Alligator mississippiensis: one gene and its partner. The protein of the gene in region 2 interacts with the protein of the main gene of each other region in a biochemical or structural test. Links are inferred from orthologs where the notes say so. Each region holds a gene or a part of one and is shown on either strand. Other genes may lie near its edges.

Evidence for each region. The genes of interacting proteins can lie anywhere in the genome.
Region 1: the proteins of PPFIA1 (region 2) and GIT1 form a complex in vitro, tested with the Homo sapiens proteins (2 studies listed by BioGRID). The link is inferred for Alligator mississippiensis from reciprocal best matches to the Homo sapiens genes PPFIA1 and GIT1.

What each region holds. Positions count from the first base shown.
Region 1 is NC_081837.1:1,503,998-1,511,262, reverse strand, and holds the start of GIT1 (ARF GTPase-activating protein GIT1), read left to right. Parts: upstream 1-4,251; 5' UTR 4,252-4,327; coding exon 4,328-4,379; intron 4,380-6,882; coding exon 6,883-7,016; intron 7,017-7,121; coding exon 7,122-7,234; intron 7,235-7,265. Other genes in the region: ANKRD13B (ankyrin repeat domain-containing protein 13B), read right to left, coding at 3,073-3,177. UniProt on the Homo sapiens protein: GTPase-activating protein for ADP ribosylation factor family members, including ARF1.
Region 2 is NC_081825.1:215,795,174-215,802,346, forward strand, and holds the start of PPFIA1 (liprin-alpha-1), read left to right. Parts: upstream 1-4,167; 5' UTR 4,168-5,003; intron 5,004-6,971; coding exon 6,972-7,173. UniProt on the Homo sapiens protein: May regulate the disassembly of focal adhesions. May localize receptor-like tyrosine phosphatases type 2A at specific sites on the plasma membrane, possibly regulating their interaction with the extracellular environment and their association with substrates.

The DNA of each region.
Region 1 (7,265 bases), on a different chromosome or scaffold from region 2:
TTGCTTAGAGACGGCTGCACGCAGGAGCCTGATATACCCCCCCAGGGTCCTCGTTACCGCCTTCCCCCCAGCTGCTAATTGCCCCATGCTCGTTTGTGCGAGACTGGCCCCGCGGGCCAAGGCTTGTTGTTGCTGGGAGGCTGTCGGGCTCCCGGGAGGGTGTTGGGGCTCCGACCTCTCCGTGGCCTGCAGCCAGCTGTGGCCACGGCCTCCTGCCCGTGCCCCGGGTCAACCACGTCCTGCCTGGCCCGGCTGCTTGCACCCGTGAGCCAGCTCCCCGCCCCGGGCATGGCTCCAGCAGCTGCAGCCATGCCAAGTGGGGGATCCCCCCCGCAGCCCTGGCCCCGCGCCCCGTCCCCACCACAACCTGCCCCTCAGCCAAGTCCTGGTCCCTGGCAAACCCGCAGCTGCCCCGGTCTCGGCCTGGCCCAGGGGCCTGCTCGGTGCCCGCCTGTGCCACCAGCGGCACAGGCCACGATGCACTGGCGAGAGTGGAGCTGATGCCGGGAGCAGCGCCTCCTGCTCGTCAGCGCCAGCGCGTTAATTAAATGCTCTCTGCTGCGACTGCTCACTCTTAATTGCTCTAATGAAAAGGGCTCCAATTAAGGAAAACACCCCTGGCGCACCCGGCAGCCGGTGCCACTGGCTCCCTGGGCCTGTGGGTTGTGATGGCAGGGGGCTCTGGGCAGGGGGGTCCTCTCCAGGCCATGTCAGGGCACAGGATGGCACAGGGCCTGTGGCTCCAGGAAACTGGGAATGGGCACTAGGACTTGGTGTCAATCCAGAGTCACTCCATTTACACCGGGGTGGAGTCTACGGGACTCAGGGGCCCCTGGCCTGCCGCTCAGCCCTGGCCCTGGCACCTGGCAGGCAGCATGGTGCCCATGTCCACCCAGTGCCCTGTGGGCAGTGGGCAAGGGGCTGTCGCCCCACTGTAGTGAAGCCAAACCCGCACCCCTGGGCCAGGGGCTCTGCGACCTGGTGCCAGGATGGAGACCAGCAACCATACCAGGGCAGGGACCAGCCGATTCCCCGTGGCTGAGGAGGGAGCAGATGCGGGCCTGGGAGCAGAGTAGGAGCCAACAGGCTGCAGGGCATGGCCTGGATCGTGGCTGGGGCCTGCCCTGTCACCGCCTGGCCCGGAGAAGCGGAGCGAGGAGGACAGATGCTGGCTCAGCAGCGCAGGGCCCACGCCAGCACCTGGCACATGGCTCTGGGGGCCGAATAACACCAGCAGTATCAGGCTGCAAGGCCGGGGGTGGCGTGGAGCGAGGGCAGTGGTTAGCAGACCATCCGTCACGAGAGGGGCGCAGCCGGGGGGCAGCAAGGGCTATGGAGGAGGCAGGGAGCCGACCCCGGGGGCTTCTGCGGCACAGGCGATGCAGGGGTCTGCTGGGGGCTCCTAGGGGCCTGGGGCCTGTGCTGGGCATGCCAGCACCCCCCTACTACCCCAGGATCCTCCCCATATGCTGGACAAACTCTGGTTTCTCTGCAGCGCTGAAAATGCCAGCCTTGGCCAAGCCGGCTACGGGCACCACCGGCTTCCCAGAGGGCACCAGTGGGCCTGGGTGCAGCAGGCACAGCCTGGAGGGCAGGTCATCCCCGAACTGACACGGAGGTGGTACGTGTGCTGCGCGCCCCGGCACCCGCTGGGTGGGAATCGGCTCTGATCTGCCTCCAGCCAGCCAGAGAGGCTGTGTGAAGCGGGCCCAGCCTGGGACACCCCCGCCCCGCTGTGCCCACTGCTCTCTGAGCCCTGCTGGGCCTGGCGGCAGGGAGGGCCGGCTGCCGGAGCCAGGGAGTCGGCCCAGAACCAGGGCCGCTGACGGCAGCAGAGGAAAGTGCTGACAAGGTGACCCGTGCAGAACCTGACACCCGCGGCACCTGCACCCGCCGCCCCCGGCTCTGCCAGCCCGGGGATGCTGCAGCTCGGCGGGCACGTGTCCCCACTGCACGGGGCTGAGCCCATCGCTGGGACAGCGCTGCTGGGGATCCCGGGGTGCCCAGAGCCCTTGGACAGGCTGGAGCGTCCCCCTGCTCTTGACAGGGACCCTGCCCCTCCCATGGCCTGCCCATGGCAGAGGGCAAGGGAATGGGGTCCTGGCCGCTCATCATCAGGCCCAGCCAGGCACCGAGCCCACTCCTCATCCCTCCCTGCCATGCCTGGGTACCCCCATCACCCCATCACCACGCAGGGGCCTGGACAGCTCATCCATCCCCCAGGAAGCTGTAGGGACCACGGCTCGATGCCAACCGGGCACTGCAAGCTGGTCTGAGCCCCGCGCTGGCAGTGTGAGAGGTGCTGAGCACTGGGGCCTGGTGGGCATGTGGCCTGGCCATGTGGGCCAGGCATGGCCCAGCACGGCACAGCACGGTGGGCCCTGGCATGCCATGCTCACCCCTCTCTGCTCGTGCCAGGAGGAGCTCAGCCCTGAGGCTCAGCCACCCCCTGGCATGGATGCTCACTTGGGGTGCTTGAACAGCTGCCTCTCTCTTGGAGACCCCCTGCCCTGCCCACATGCTGCTGGGGGATGGGGGCAGCCCAGCCCCAGCCTCCCCGGCCCTGGCAATGCCACGCGGCACCCGGGCGAGCGTGGCATCCGCAAGAAGCACTGTGTCCCCTGCCCCAGAACGGGGCTCTGCCTCCCTGGCCCCGCTACAAACCCAGAGGCACCACCGGGTCCCCGGCCAAGCACCCAGCGCCACGGGAACAACCCCCTGGCCCGACCTGCTCGGCGCTGCACGCACGTGGCTCGGCCTGTCCCGAGTCCCAGACCCCCGCACAGCCACACGCGCCCACGCCTGGCACAAGAAAGGCGGGTGTGGCCCAGGCAAAGAGGGACAGGAACCAGGCCTCGTGACAGCGCGCCGGAGCGCCATCCTGCCCGCCTGGGCACGGCTTGGGGGTGGCGTGGGAGCAGGTGCCCTTCCCCGCCCGCCACCCCCGCGCCAGCTGGGGATCCGGAGGGGGGTGGGGGGAGGCTGCGGGCCCCTGGGGGCACGGCGGGGCCGGGCCCCTCCCGGCCCGGCCCGGCCCGGCCCCGGCCCCGGCCCATCCCCGCGGGCACCCACCTGCTCGGCGGCCAGCTCGCGCTCCAGCTCGCGGGGCCGGTTGTGCCAGACCAGGCGGTGCAGCGGGAACCTGCCCGGGCCGCGGGGCCCGGAGGAGCCGCTCATGCTGCCGGCATGCCGGGCCGGGGCCGGGGCCGGGGCCGGGCGGGGCGCGGGGCGGCGGCGGCGGCGGCGGCGCGGGGGGAGCCCCGGGCGCCGGGCAGGGCGCGCAGCCCCCGGGCGGAGCCGGCGCGGAGCATCGCGGCGGGGCCCGGGCGGCTCTGCGGGGCCGGCTGGGACTTGTAGTCCCGCAACCGGGCGGGGCCGGGGGCTGCACCGCGCCGCTCCGCCCGGCCCCGGCTCCGGCTCCGGCTCCGACTCCGGCGCCGCCTCCCGCGGGCAGCGCCGTGCTGCGCCCCGGCTCGGGCAGCCTTGGCAGCGCCGTGCCCGGGCCGTGCCAGCACGCGGGGCGGGGCGGGGCGGGCGGGCGGGCGGGGCCGGGCCGGGGCATCCCCCGCCGCTGGCGCAGGGCGCGGGGCTCGGGGCGCGGGGCCAGGGGCAGCATCCTCGCGGCCGGGCCCCGTGCTGCAGCGGCAGCGGCCGGGAGGAGCCCTCTGCCCCGCGCAGGCTCTGCGGCATCCCCGGCGCTGTCGTGAGCCGCGAGCTGCGGGGGCTGCGGGCAGGGCCGGGCCGGCATGTCGCGGTGCTCACCCGGGCGACAGTAATCGCTGCGGGGCCCCTGGCCCTGCACCCACGGCCCGGCCCGGCGTGTCCCCCCACCCGCCCCGCGCGGGCGCTGCCCGGCCCCACCCCGACACCCCCGCGCGCCCCCCACGGCCCCCGGCGTCAAGTCACGCGCGCCCACGGCGCGTGGCAGGCGAGGGCTGCAGCCCCCGTGGCACTGCCAGGCCGTGCGCGGGCACGGCCGTGCCTCCTGCCACCCGCACCCGCAGCCGCCTCCCGCTCGGGGCCGGGCCGGGCCGGGCCGGCGGGACTGGGGCTGTGGGCAGGCGGGTGCGGGTGCGGGTGCGGGGCCCGCGGGCACGGCTGGGCGAGGCGAGGCGGGGCGGTGCTGTGCGGTGCGGTGCGGTGCGGGGCCGGCCCGCCGCAGCCCCCCCCGCCGGCCGGGGCGGAGCCGGGATCGGGGCCGGGCCGGGCGGCTCCTCCTCCGGCGGGGCCGGGCTTGCGCCGTTTCCTGCAGGAGCCGAGCCCGAGCCCGCAGCTCCCGGCCCTCGGCCCGGCCCGGCCCGGCCCCGCGCGCCCGCCCGCCCGCACCATGTCCCGCAAGGCGCCGCGGGCGGAGGTGTGCGCCGACTGCAGCGCCCCAGGTAGGGCCCGGCCCGCCCCGCCCGCAGCCCCCGCCGCAGCCGCAGGAGCGGGGCGGGTCCGCCTGCGTGCCGGGCACCGCCGTGCCTGCCCGCTCCCCGCCAGCCCTGGGGCCCCCAGCCACCCCGCACCCACCCCGCCACCGGTAAGGGACGTGCCCGCGGCCGCGCGGGCAGGCGGTGGCAGAGCGCGGCCCCGGGCAGGAAGGCGGGGCCTGCCCTGGGGAGCACCGCACAGCTCCTGGCACCGCACGGGCACGGGCACGGGCACTGACCCTGGTCACCTGCCGCCAGGCCATGGCCCGTGGGAGCAGCTGCCCACGGGCAGGAGCAGGTTGGCCGGGGGCGGAGGCCCCGCTTCTCGCCCGCCGCAGAGCAGAGCCGTCTGTGCCCGGCGGCCTCCCGTGGGCAGCCGCGCAGAGGCACAGATGCAGCCGCGTCACTGCCAAGCGCGCTCGCGCCCGCGCCATCTGTGTGCCCGCCCTGTGCCAGCCGCACGCCCCGAGCCCATCGCCTCCAGTCCCGAGAGCGCCGGTGCCCAGGGTGCCAGGGCAAGGTGGCGCAGCGGGTGCCCACGGCTCAGGGCCAGGGTGAATGCCTCTGTGGCCCCATAGCCTGTGCCCTGTATCCGAAGCCCAGCTGCTCCCCCTTTGCCCGCGCGCCCATCCAGAGTCGCTCTGTCCGGTTCCCAGCAGGAAGGAAGCGCGGGGAGGGCCTGGTCCCCGCCCCGGCTAGGCTTCCTCTGCAGGGCTCAGAGGCCAGCGATGCTGAGGCCTGTGCCAGCCCCCCCAGGTGCTACCATGCCACCCAGGCCCCGAGTCCTTGAGGAACCCAGGCATCCTCAACAGGGAGCTGGCCCGTGCGTGGGCTGGGGCTGGGCAAGGCCCTCGGGCAATGCCAGGGTTGCATCGGCCCCATGGGTGCCTGGCCTCCGCGGCTCCCAGATGCCCAGCGGCTGCTCACGGATCGGGGGGCCCTGCTCCATCCCAGCCCCAGGCCTGCACTCAGCACCATGCGGAGCCACCTGCCCCCTGGCATCAGGGCTGTGGGGTGGGAGCGAGGGCACCGGGTGGCGGGGGACCTGGGGCTGGGGCTGGCCGAGCCGTGGGGCAGCCCTGGGCTGGGGAGGGGGAGGCCACGTCTTGCCTGGGCCTGCGCGGGGCCCTGCGGCTGCAGGAAAGAAACCTTGACCTGTTTTCCTGCGGCTCCGGCAGCTGAGCCAGGCCTGCGGCGCCTCGGCCTTTGCTTTGCTAATTGGGTGGTTTGAACTTTGCAGGCAGCGTTTGCACAATGGGCCTCGCGCCCAGAGCTCCTCTCCTCGGGGCGGGGGGCAGGGAGGGGGCAGGGGGCTGTGGCCCGGGGGGCCTCCAGGCTGACACCTCCGTATGACGCCAGGGGTTGGGGTGAGGGGCATCGGCAGGGCTGGGGGGCTGCTGGTCGGAAGCGAGGGGCACCCGCTGGGATGGGGGGCTGCGGGGCAAGAGCGAGGGGCACTGCAAGGCCTGGGGGGCAGCAAGCCAGGAGTGAGGGGCACCACAAAGCCTCAGGGGCCATGGGTTGGGGGTGAGGGCAACTGCAAGGCTCGGGGGGCACAGGTTGGGGGTGAGGGCACCACAAGACATGGGGGGCTGCGGGTCGGGAGTGAGGGGCACCGACAGGGCTGGGGGGGCTCCAGGCAGGCCGATGCCCGGGCTGGGGGAGCGGAGCCGCGCTCCGGCCAGGGCAGCACCAGCTCCGGCTGCAGCACAAAGCGCCCGTTCTCCCCGTGACCTTTCCACTGCGGCGGCTGGGCCGGGCCGTGCGGCTGGCGTGTGCCCGGGGGCTCCCCCACAGCGAGGCCCATGCTGCACCCCAGTCCAGCGCGTGGGGCGGCCGCTGCGCCGGACGCTGGCGAGGCCGGAGCGGAGCCGTGCCCGGGGGCACCGGCCGCCCTCCCCCTCCCCGGAGCCGAGTGCTCGCGTCTCAAACGGCCCTTTGTTCTCCGAGTGCCAGAGCGAGGACAAAGGCTCGGGGCTGGCGCTGGGGGGGCTGGGCCGGACTGGGGGGCAGCGAGGCCAGGCCGGGCTGCGGGGCAGGTGGGTGAGGGGCAGCTGGCACTGGCACGGGGCCGTTGCAGCTGGGCTGGGAGCCGCTGGGCCCGAGACCCTGGGGGTGCCGGCTGGGCAGGGGGCTACTTCCCGCTCCCCCAGGGGCACGGGGCTGGTGCCCCTCAGGGCCAGGCATCGCCCCCGCACGTGCCCGCCCCAAGCTGGCGGCCCCCGGGAATGGGCGCAGCATCGTCCTGGGCACAGATTGAGGCTGCCCCCCCTGCGGGGTACTCCTCCCCAGCACCCCCGTGCCAGGTTGCTACGGGAACCTCTAGGTTTCCCTAGTTACAGCGCCGCAACTCCAGGGCCTGGTGGTTTCCATAGCAACCATGCCCAAAACCGTGGGGGGACCCAGAATGGGCACGGGGCCGGGGGATGCTGGGTGGCCCCCGGGGCCCTGACGCCCGCCTGCCCCGCAGACCCCGGCTGGGCCTCCATCAACCGGGGCGTGCTGATCTGCGACGAGTGCTGCAGCGTGCACCGCAGCCTGGGCCGCCACATCTCCATCGTCAAGCACCTGCGCCACAGCCCCTGGCCCCCCACCCTGCTGCAGGTGGGTCGCGCCCCCCCAAGCGCGCGCGGGGCCGGCGGGGCGTGAGCGGGCGCCCCCCCGAGCCCCTGGCCCCCGCCCGGCTCTGACTCGCCCGTGTCCCCGCAGATGGTGCACACGCTGGCCAGCAACGGGGCCAACTCCATCTGGGAGCACTCGCTGCTGGACCCGGCGCAGGTGCAGAGCGGGCGGCGCAAGGCCAACCCCCAGGACAAAGTGCAGTGAGTGCCCGGTGGCACGGGGCGGGGAGGG
Region 2 (7,173 bases):
GAGCCCATGGTACTTATCTGTGGGACAAGAATGTATGTTGGTGTAGGCTGGGATTGAGAGGCAACTGATACGGTCAATATGTTCTGCTTTCAACATATGTGGCTTCCTATGTGGAAATTACTACTTCTAGAAGCAGAACACATTAAATTGTATATTGATGCTTCCCATTCAGAGGGGGGAAGTTCAGTATGCAGCCATGTTGGTGAAGCCAGCTGCTTCACAGTTTAAAATGGAGAAGGGAAAAGCAGTTGCAATACTCCTTGTGGGTTCTTGGGGTGCCTGGGACCTTTTGCCAATTGGGGGGTATTGCAGTGTTTCCTGCATACAGAAAACTGGACAACTTTCAGTCTAACTTAAGTTCAGTTTACATTAGGGAAAACAATAAAACAAGAAAGGACAAAAGTCCAAAGAAGATAACACAATGTCTCGGTCTTCCTTGTAACATGTTGAATCGTTTCAGAATAGGATGTTTCTTTCCACTGTGAATAGGCAGAATTCTTAAAGCGTACAGGTGCGGTGCACAGAAAACAATGTCACATGCTGCTTATACGGCTGCCTATAGATCAATAATTCACTGCTGGCGCCACACCCACTGGTGTAAGCCATAGACAGGGATCAGTTTGAGTATTCTTATCCTTGTGGTTTTTAAACCTTGTCCAGGCAAAAAAGGGACTTGTGAAAGCTTTTCATTATCCAAGTGGAGAATTATCATAATATTTCCAAGCATGGGCAAAACAGAGTAGAAGAAAAATTTGTTGGTTTTAAAAATTTCCTAGTTTTTAAATTGGGATGATTTTGGATTATTTTTTCTTCTCTTCCTGGTAAAACCTGCAGGAGGGAAAATATACAAGCCCAAATAATTCCAGTCTAATCAAATAAGATTTTTTTGAAGCTTAGAGCTATGTACAGTGCATTTTTAAAAGTATATTTTCATAGCCTCCACATAGGAATATATATTTTTTCCATAATATTTTAATTTGAAAACATTTATATTAATTGGGGTTTTAACAATTGGATGCTTACTCTTCAAATAATTCCCTGTAAGTGCAATGGTTTACCTATATAGAGGCAGTTCCAGAACTAGAACTTGGGGGAGAAAATCCACTAATTCATTGTAGTCCCATTTAATTTTATTGGGCTTCTAGATTATTTGCTTGCCATCACTCATAACTAGTCTGCTGTATGCCACATACACAAGCCACAGGTTGGCCACCCCTGTTTTATAACAAGAGTTCTGATCTTCTGGCTATTTCTTCCTAAGTAAAGCTTGTGTTCACACGGAACCCCTCTGGCATCATTGGGCTTCAGTGCAGACCCACTTAAAGGATGGGGGCCAAGGAATAAATCTGAAGCAAATCAGAAGCAAAAGTGACTGTTTTCCAACATTTACGTTAAAACCTGTGCTTTTAATAATGATTATGTATAAAGTTTTACTGAGATCATTTTGACAGCACAGGTATAATTAGCAAAATCAGTTTTCTTTTCTTCTAGGAATAACATGAATTAGTTTCAGCTTGAATATTTACTCTTTTTCTACATTAGAAAACCAGATCTTATTACTTTGGATAATGAAACTTGGTTTGTGGATTAGTCAACACAAAATCTGTGCTGACCAATGTTGCCTGATTTTTGTAAGTTGTAGGAAGTGGCCCAATATGTGGTGCTTTTAGTAAAGCCACAAATTTCAGAATTATGTGATTCCATGAAAATCTTAGCTGTTATTTTTAAAAAGGTTTTAAACTACTTGGTTGCAGAGAAAAGCTTCAAGAAACCTGTGTTCACCTTTATGGCTTGGATACCAAAGGCAGGTATGAAGAACACAATGGGCATGTCTACATGTGCATTAATGTGATTTTCCTAAAGCATATTAAATTTAGTACCTCCAATATGAGGTAATAAATAAATGTACATCAGGTTGTGCTAATGCATGGTAGTGCAAGCACACACATTTTAGGTGATGCTTAATGTGCACTAACCTATTTCAGGGGTTCCCAACCTTTTTATGCTGAGGATCGGCAAACAGTGGACTGGGAAACTGCGGACCAGCAGTGACTTGGCATACTGTGGGCAGGAAACAAACCCTTTTTTATACTCAGTATAAAAACTGGCTGCCAGTCCAGAGTATGCTAGTCACTTCCAGTCCGCAGTTGGCCAGTCTGCAGTTTGCTGGTCCGCAGTCACTTCTGGTCTGCAGCAGTCAACCTTCCTGCAGACCAGCAGCCAACCCTTTGCAGCCCAGTACCAGGCTGTGGCCCGGGGGTTGGGAACTGCTGGCCTATTTTACTGCACATTAGCTTACTAGCATGGTTTTTAAGTGCTGCTTCAATGCGCAGTAGAATAGGCTACAGCACATTAAAGTGCACATGTAGATGCTCTCGTTACATATTTATTTTTAAAGATTTTTTTTTTAAAGCCAGTATCACAATTCTTTGTGGGACAGACTCAGTGTATGCTTAATTTCAGTACCATGCTTAATGTCACTTGTCTCACACAAACCTGTAACAAGCTGTTTCATGCAGTCCCTGTTTCCTTTTGTGCATTCCAACAGCCCTGCCGCTGCCTCTGCTGAATTGAGGCTCTGGGTTTAACAGGACTGAACCAGTCTGAAAATGCTGCCATCAGTAATCAGCACTGCTGAAGGCAAATATTTAAAATAATACCATGTAGTATCAATCAGCCTGTACTTGAGGTTTGAATTAGAAGACTAACACTGTTCCCCACGCTTTACGAAATAAGCTCCCTCCACCAAAGTGAAAGAGCTTTCAGTGTACTATAATACCAGTTGTCTATGGATCTCCTCAGTCCCTATAATAATGACTTCCCTATTTACTGGAAGACTGTCATTCTGGTACTGAGGGACTGGTGCTGCTGAGGAGTCCCTGTACAGACAGCTCTTTGGTGGAGATGCAGTTTATATTGGAGAAAGTTCTTTTGCTGATATGGCTTAAGTGTGTTCCCTGATGGCAATAAGCTATAGCAGGAAAGGACTTTTTGTTAACATGCTGGTATTTACTGACATTGCTTTATCAGATTAGTGGCTTGCTTTTTTAATTTTAAGTAGCTACTCATAGACACTATGCTACTAAAACGTTGTCGTGTAAAGCAGGCCTTAGGGCTGTAAGGCAGTGCATCTGACCACATGAAAGCAGTTTCACTGGCATAAAGGTGCTTTGTGCTGGTAGAGGTATTGCTACCAAGACTGGAATGAGTAACCATTATAACAAGGCAAAGATTTGTTTGTTTTTTTGCGGGGGCGGGGGGGGGGTCATTCCATTGTTCATTGGGTCCAGGGCAGAGTTGGAGTACAGTTAGGCATGCTTTCCCTTTGAGGAGGGAGCAAGTGAACACAGGGAGCAGCGCAGGATCATCTTCATAAGGATATCTGTGTCAAGAACATCACCACAGCACTATTTCGAAAATAGGCGAGGTGTTTTCACAGAAAATGAGGGCTGGAAGGGACTGTAGGACGCCATCAAGTCCAACCCCTGCTCAAAGCTGGACATCTCCCAAGTCAATTAGCCCAGCCAAAGTTTTGTCTAGCCAGGTCTTCAAAACCTCCAAGGATGGAGACTCCACCACCTCTCTGGGGAACCTGTTCCAGTGCTTTCCTACCCTCGTAGTGGGAGAGTTTTCCCTAATATCCAACCTAAACTCCCCTTGCTGCAACTTGGGACCATTGCTCCTTGCTCCATCACCAGCCCCCGCTGAACCCAGCCGGGCTCCAACCTCGTGCCAGTGAACACTCGTGTGATCTCCCCAGCCCTGGGGCTGTCCTGATCTCTCGCTCACCCTCCAGGCTGCTGGTTGCAGCCTGCCTGAGGAGCAGAGGGCGGCGGGCAGCGCTGGAAGAGACCTCCCATGGGCAGTTGCGAGGGGGAGGGGCACAGTAGCGGTGAGACCCTCCTCCCTCCCCTACACCGCGCCCCCGACCGTCGGACGCTACCACTACCTGGGGGGAAGGAGGTAGGACACGACACCAGAGGGTACTACCATTGGCCGCGGGACGGGGGGCGGAGGGCACTACCATTGGCTGCGGAGGGTGGAGGGCACTACCATTGGCCGCGGGACGTGGAGGGCACTACCATTGGCTGCAGGGGGGTGGTAGGATTGTCTCCAGCCACTGCTGGCGTTAAGGCGGTGACACCTAATTGATTGCCAACATTTTTTTTTTTTTTTTTGCTCTGGAAAACAAGAGCGCGCCCCTCAGAGGCGCTGGTTGTGGGCAGAAGCGGAGCGCAGGACAGTCCCCCTCCTCCCTCGCCGGGTGTGTGGCGCGGGCAGCGTCCCACGCACGCGCACAGTAGCGCAGCCCTCCGCGCTCTGGAGCCCAGCGTTCTGGGGCTGCCGCTGGCCCGAGTCTCGGCTCCGTGGGGGAGGGGCCTGGACCCGGCGCGAGCCGCGGGGCGCGCAGTGCATTGTGGTCGCGCAGTGATTGCTGCGGGCGCGGGGCACGCCGGGAGCGGCGGCGGCGGCGGCGGTGAGAGTGCGGGTGAGGGGCCCGCGCCGCGGAGCGCCCCAGGGTAGCAGCAGCCGGAGCCGGGCCCGCGAGGACGAGGCGCGGGCGCCGCCATCCCCGCGCCCGGGGTATAAATGAGTGAGCGACGCGGCAGGAAGGGCAGGATCCCGCGGCTGCGACCCCAGCGCCCAGGAGCTGCGGCTGCTTCCCCCGCCCGGAGCCGCGGGCGAGGGCGGCGCTGAGGCGGCAGCGGACACGTTCCCCCGCCCATGGTCCCGGCGGCGCCGAGGGCTGGCAGCGGGGAGGAGAGGAGCTGAGGCCGGGCTGGTGCCTGGGGGACTCGGGGGCCCTGCTCTGCGCTCCGCCGCCTCTTGCTCCGGCTTGGGGCGCCGGGACGGATATTGCAGGGCGCTGGATGGCAGCTCCGCGCCGCTACAGGGGCTCGCGGCTCCTGCAGCGGCAGTAGGAGAGGAGAAAGCCGCGGGGGAGACCTGGTGCTGCCGAAACCCTGGGCCCACGGTGACGCCGCTTTGTTTCATCGACCAAGGTAAAGCAGCGAGCAGTGGGTGGCTGGCGCCTGCCTCAGATCAGCTTAAAAGCCCCAGTATAAAACAGTGCTGGTGCTTGGGACAGGCCTTCCCGGGGAGCTTCTCATTAATTCAGAAGTGCGGGCTCTGCTTGTCACAAATAAGTTTAACAACTGCCTTAGGAACTCCAATATTAGGAAGTAGGCACCGTACTTTCGTTAGGGATAGTTTAAAAGTTGCACGTGCAGCTTCATAAACCATCGTTTGTTCAGTTCCCGTGAGAAAAGTTGATGGCAGTTGACACTGTGGTACTGTTGGTTATGTATTTCGTTGCTTTTCAAATGCAGGAGGACAGAAACTTCCCTTGGTTCTGAAGTCTGGGTGGCCCAGGATTCAAACCAGGCTGTAAAATGTAGGATCCCTCCAGCATGAGGCCTTATGCTTTTGCCATTACTAAGCATGGTGGGGTGTACAACAACGATACTTCCAAGTTTATATTTTTATCATACTCTCTGCGTGTGTCTCAGTCCCTCTTTTTATATCTGACAGCTGCTGATGTAGCGTGCTGGCTAGCAGTCAAGTCCTGTTTGTTTAGTATTTAAGACCTTGAACAGCCTTTCTTTTCGTTTTCACTTTCTCCGGGTTGACCTCTTGGCTTTCCCTGTGGCTGCATCCGGGTGCAGAAATCCGCTGTTGCTAATTTTCATGCAGTAAAATTGTCCAATAGAGATTTTTGTGGCTTCGGTGGCAGCTGAAAGTAGTGCCTCTTCCCAGGATGGTGGAGTGCAGTATCAAGAGTTTGAAAGAAGTATGATATAGGCTTCAATATGTGTGGTTTGTGGGTTTTTTTGTTGTTGTTTTTGGGTTGAGGCGTGCTTAATACTGTTTAAAGGTCCAAACAACTTTTTAAACAAAGCACATGCATCCTTTATAAATTGGCATCAGAAATAGTGTGGTAGATGTGTAGCTTTTCAACAGAGTTGGCATTGGTAGGAAGTGATACTGTAACAAAACTGCAATAGTAATATTTTTCAAACCTAAGACACTGGTTTATATAGCCTTAAATCCAGTAAACTATAGATGTTTGGCTGTGTGCATAGGGTTAAGCTGTAGCAAGTCGGGATGTCCTATTTGTAGAGGGGGGAAATCCCCCACTCTGTATACATGCCCTTTTCAGAGTGACCAGTTTACTTCTGAATGAATGAGAATTATTTTCTCCCACTTTGAAAAACCTATCTTTTAATATTGTCCAACATACAACCCAGTTGTTTTTCCTGCAGCTGGCACAGGGGAATTTGTTTCAGGTTTGGTCTTAGGCTTTGCTTCTCTCTTCACATACAACATGGTGTCTTATCTAGGTTAGGTTAGCTTCTAGTATTGCTGTCACAGGTGGGATTAAACAGATGGTGTATTACAGATACACACGTATGTGGTGTAGATAAGATTCTTCAATAGTTTTTTTTTTTTTTTTTCATTTTATGTATCTTGTTTCAAGGGCCAAATCAGTTCCAAATTCACTTGGGCAAATCTCAAAAGCCAAGTTTCAAATTTCAACTGAGCAGAGCTCAGTCATTCAAGTCCATGTGGCTCTACCGCTGGGGAAGTATCTTCCTTCTCAGACGCGTCAGTCTGGGGCTTCGGATACTCCCCGAAACTCTGGCAGGCATCCTACATGCAAGCCCAGGGCCCAGAGACCCTGGGGTTCAGATGCCCCCTAGTCTTGTTTGCTCCTAACCAAAAGATCAAGGAGTGAGCCAGGAAAAGCAAGAAAGCAGTCCCACTTTCCTATGCAACTGTGTAGTCGAGTTTCCCACGTTTGGGAAAACTCTCGGGTAAGCCTGCCCAGAATGCAAGGGACAGGCCTCACTCTTGGGGGGGAAAAACATCATTGTATCTCCCTAGGCTTATGAACATTTTTGTTTTTGGATTTGTATTCTGTACTTTATTGCTAATAATTAATGGCCTGAATTTAATTTCTTAATTTCAAGATGATGTGTGAGGTGATGCCAACCATCAGTGAGGCAGAGATTCCCTCTGGGGGAAATGGAGGCCATGGTTCAAGCTCCCCGTTACAATCGGATGCTGATTCCCATTTTGAGCAGTTAATGGTGTCTATGCTGGAAGAGAGGGATCGTCTCCTGGAAACACTAAGAGAAACTCAAGAGACACTAGCTTTGACACAGGGCAAGC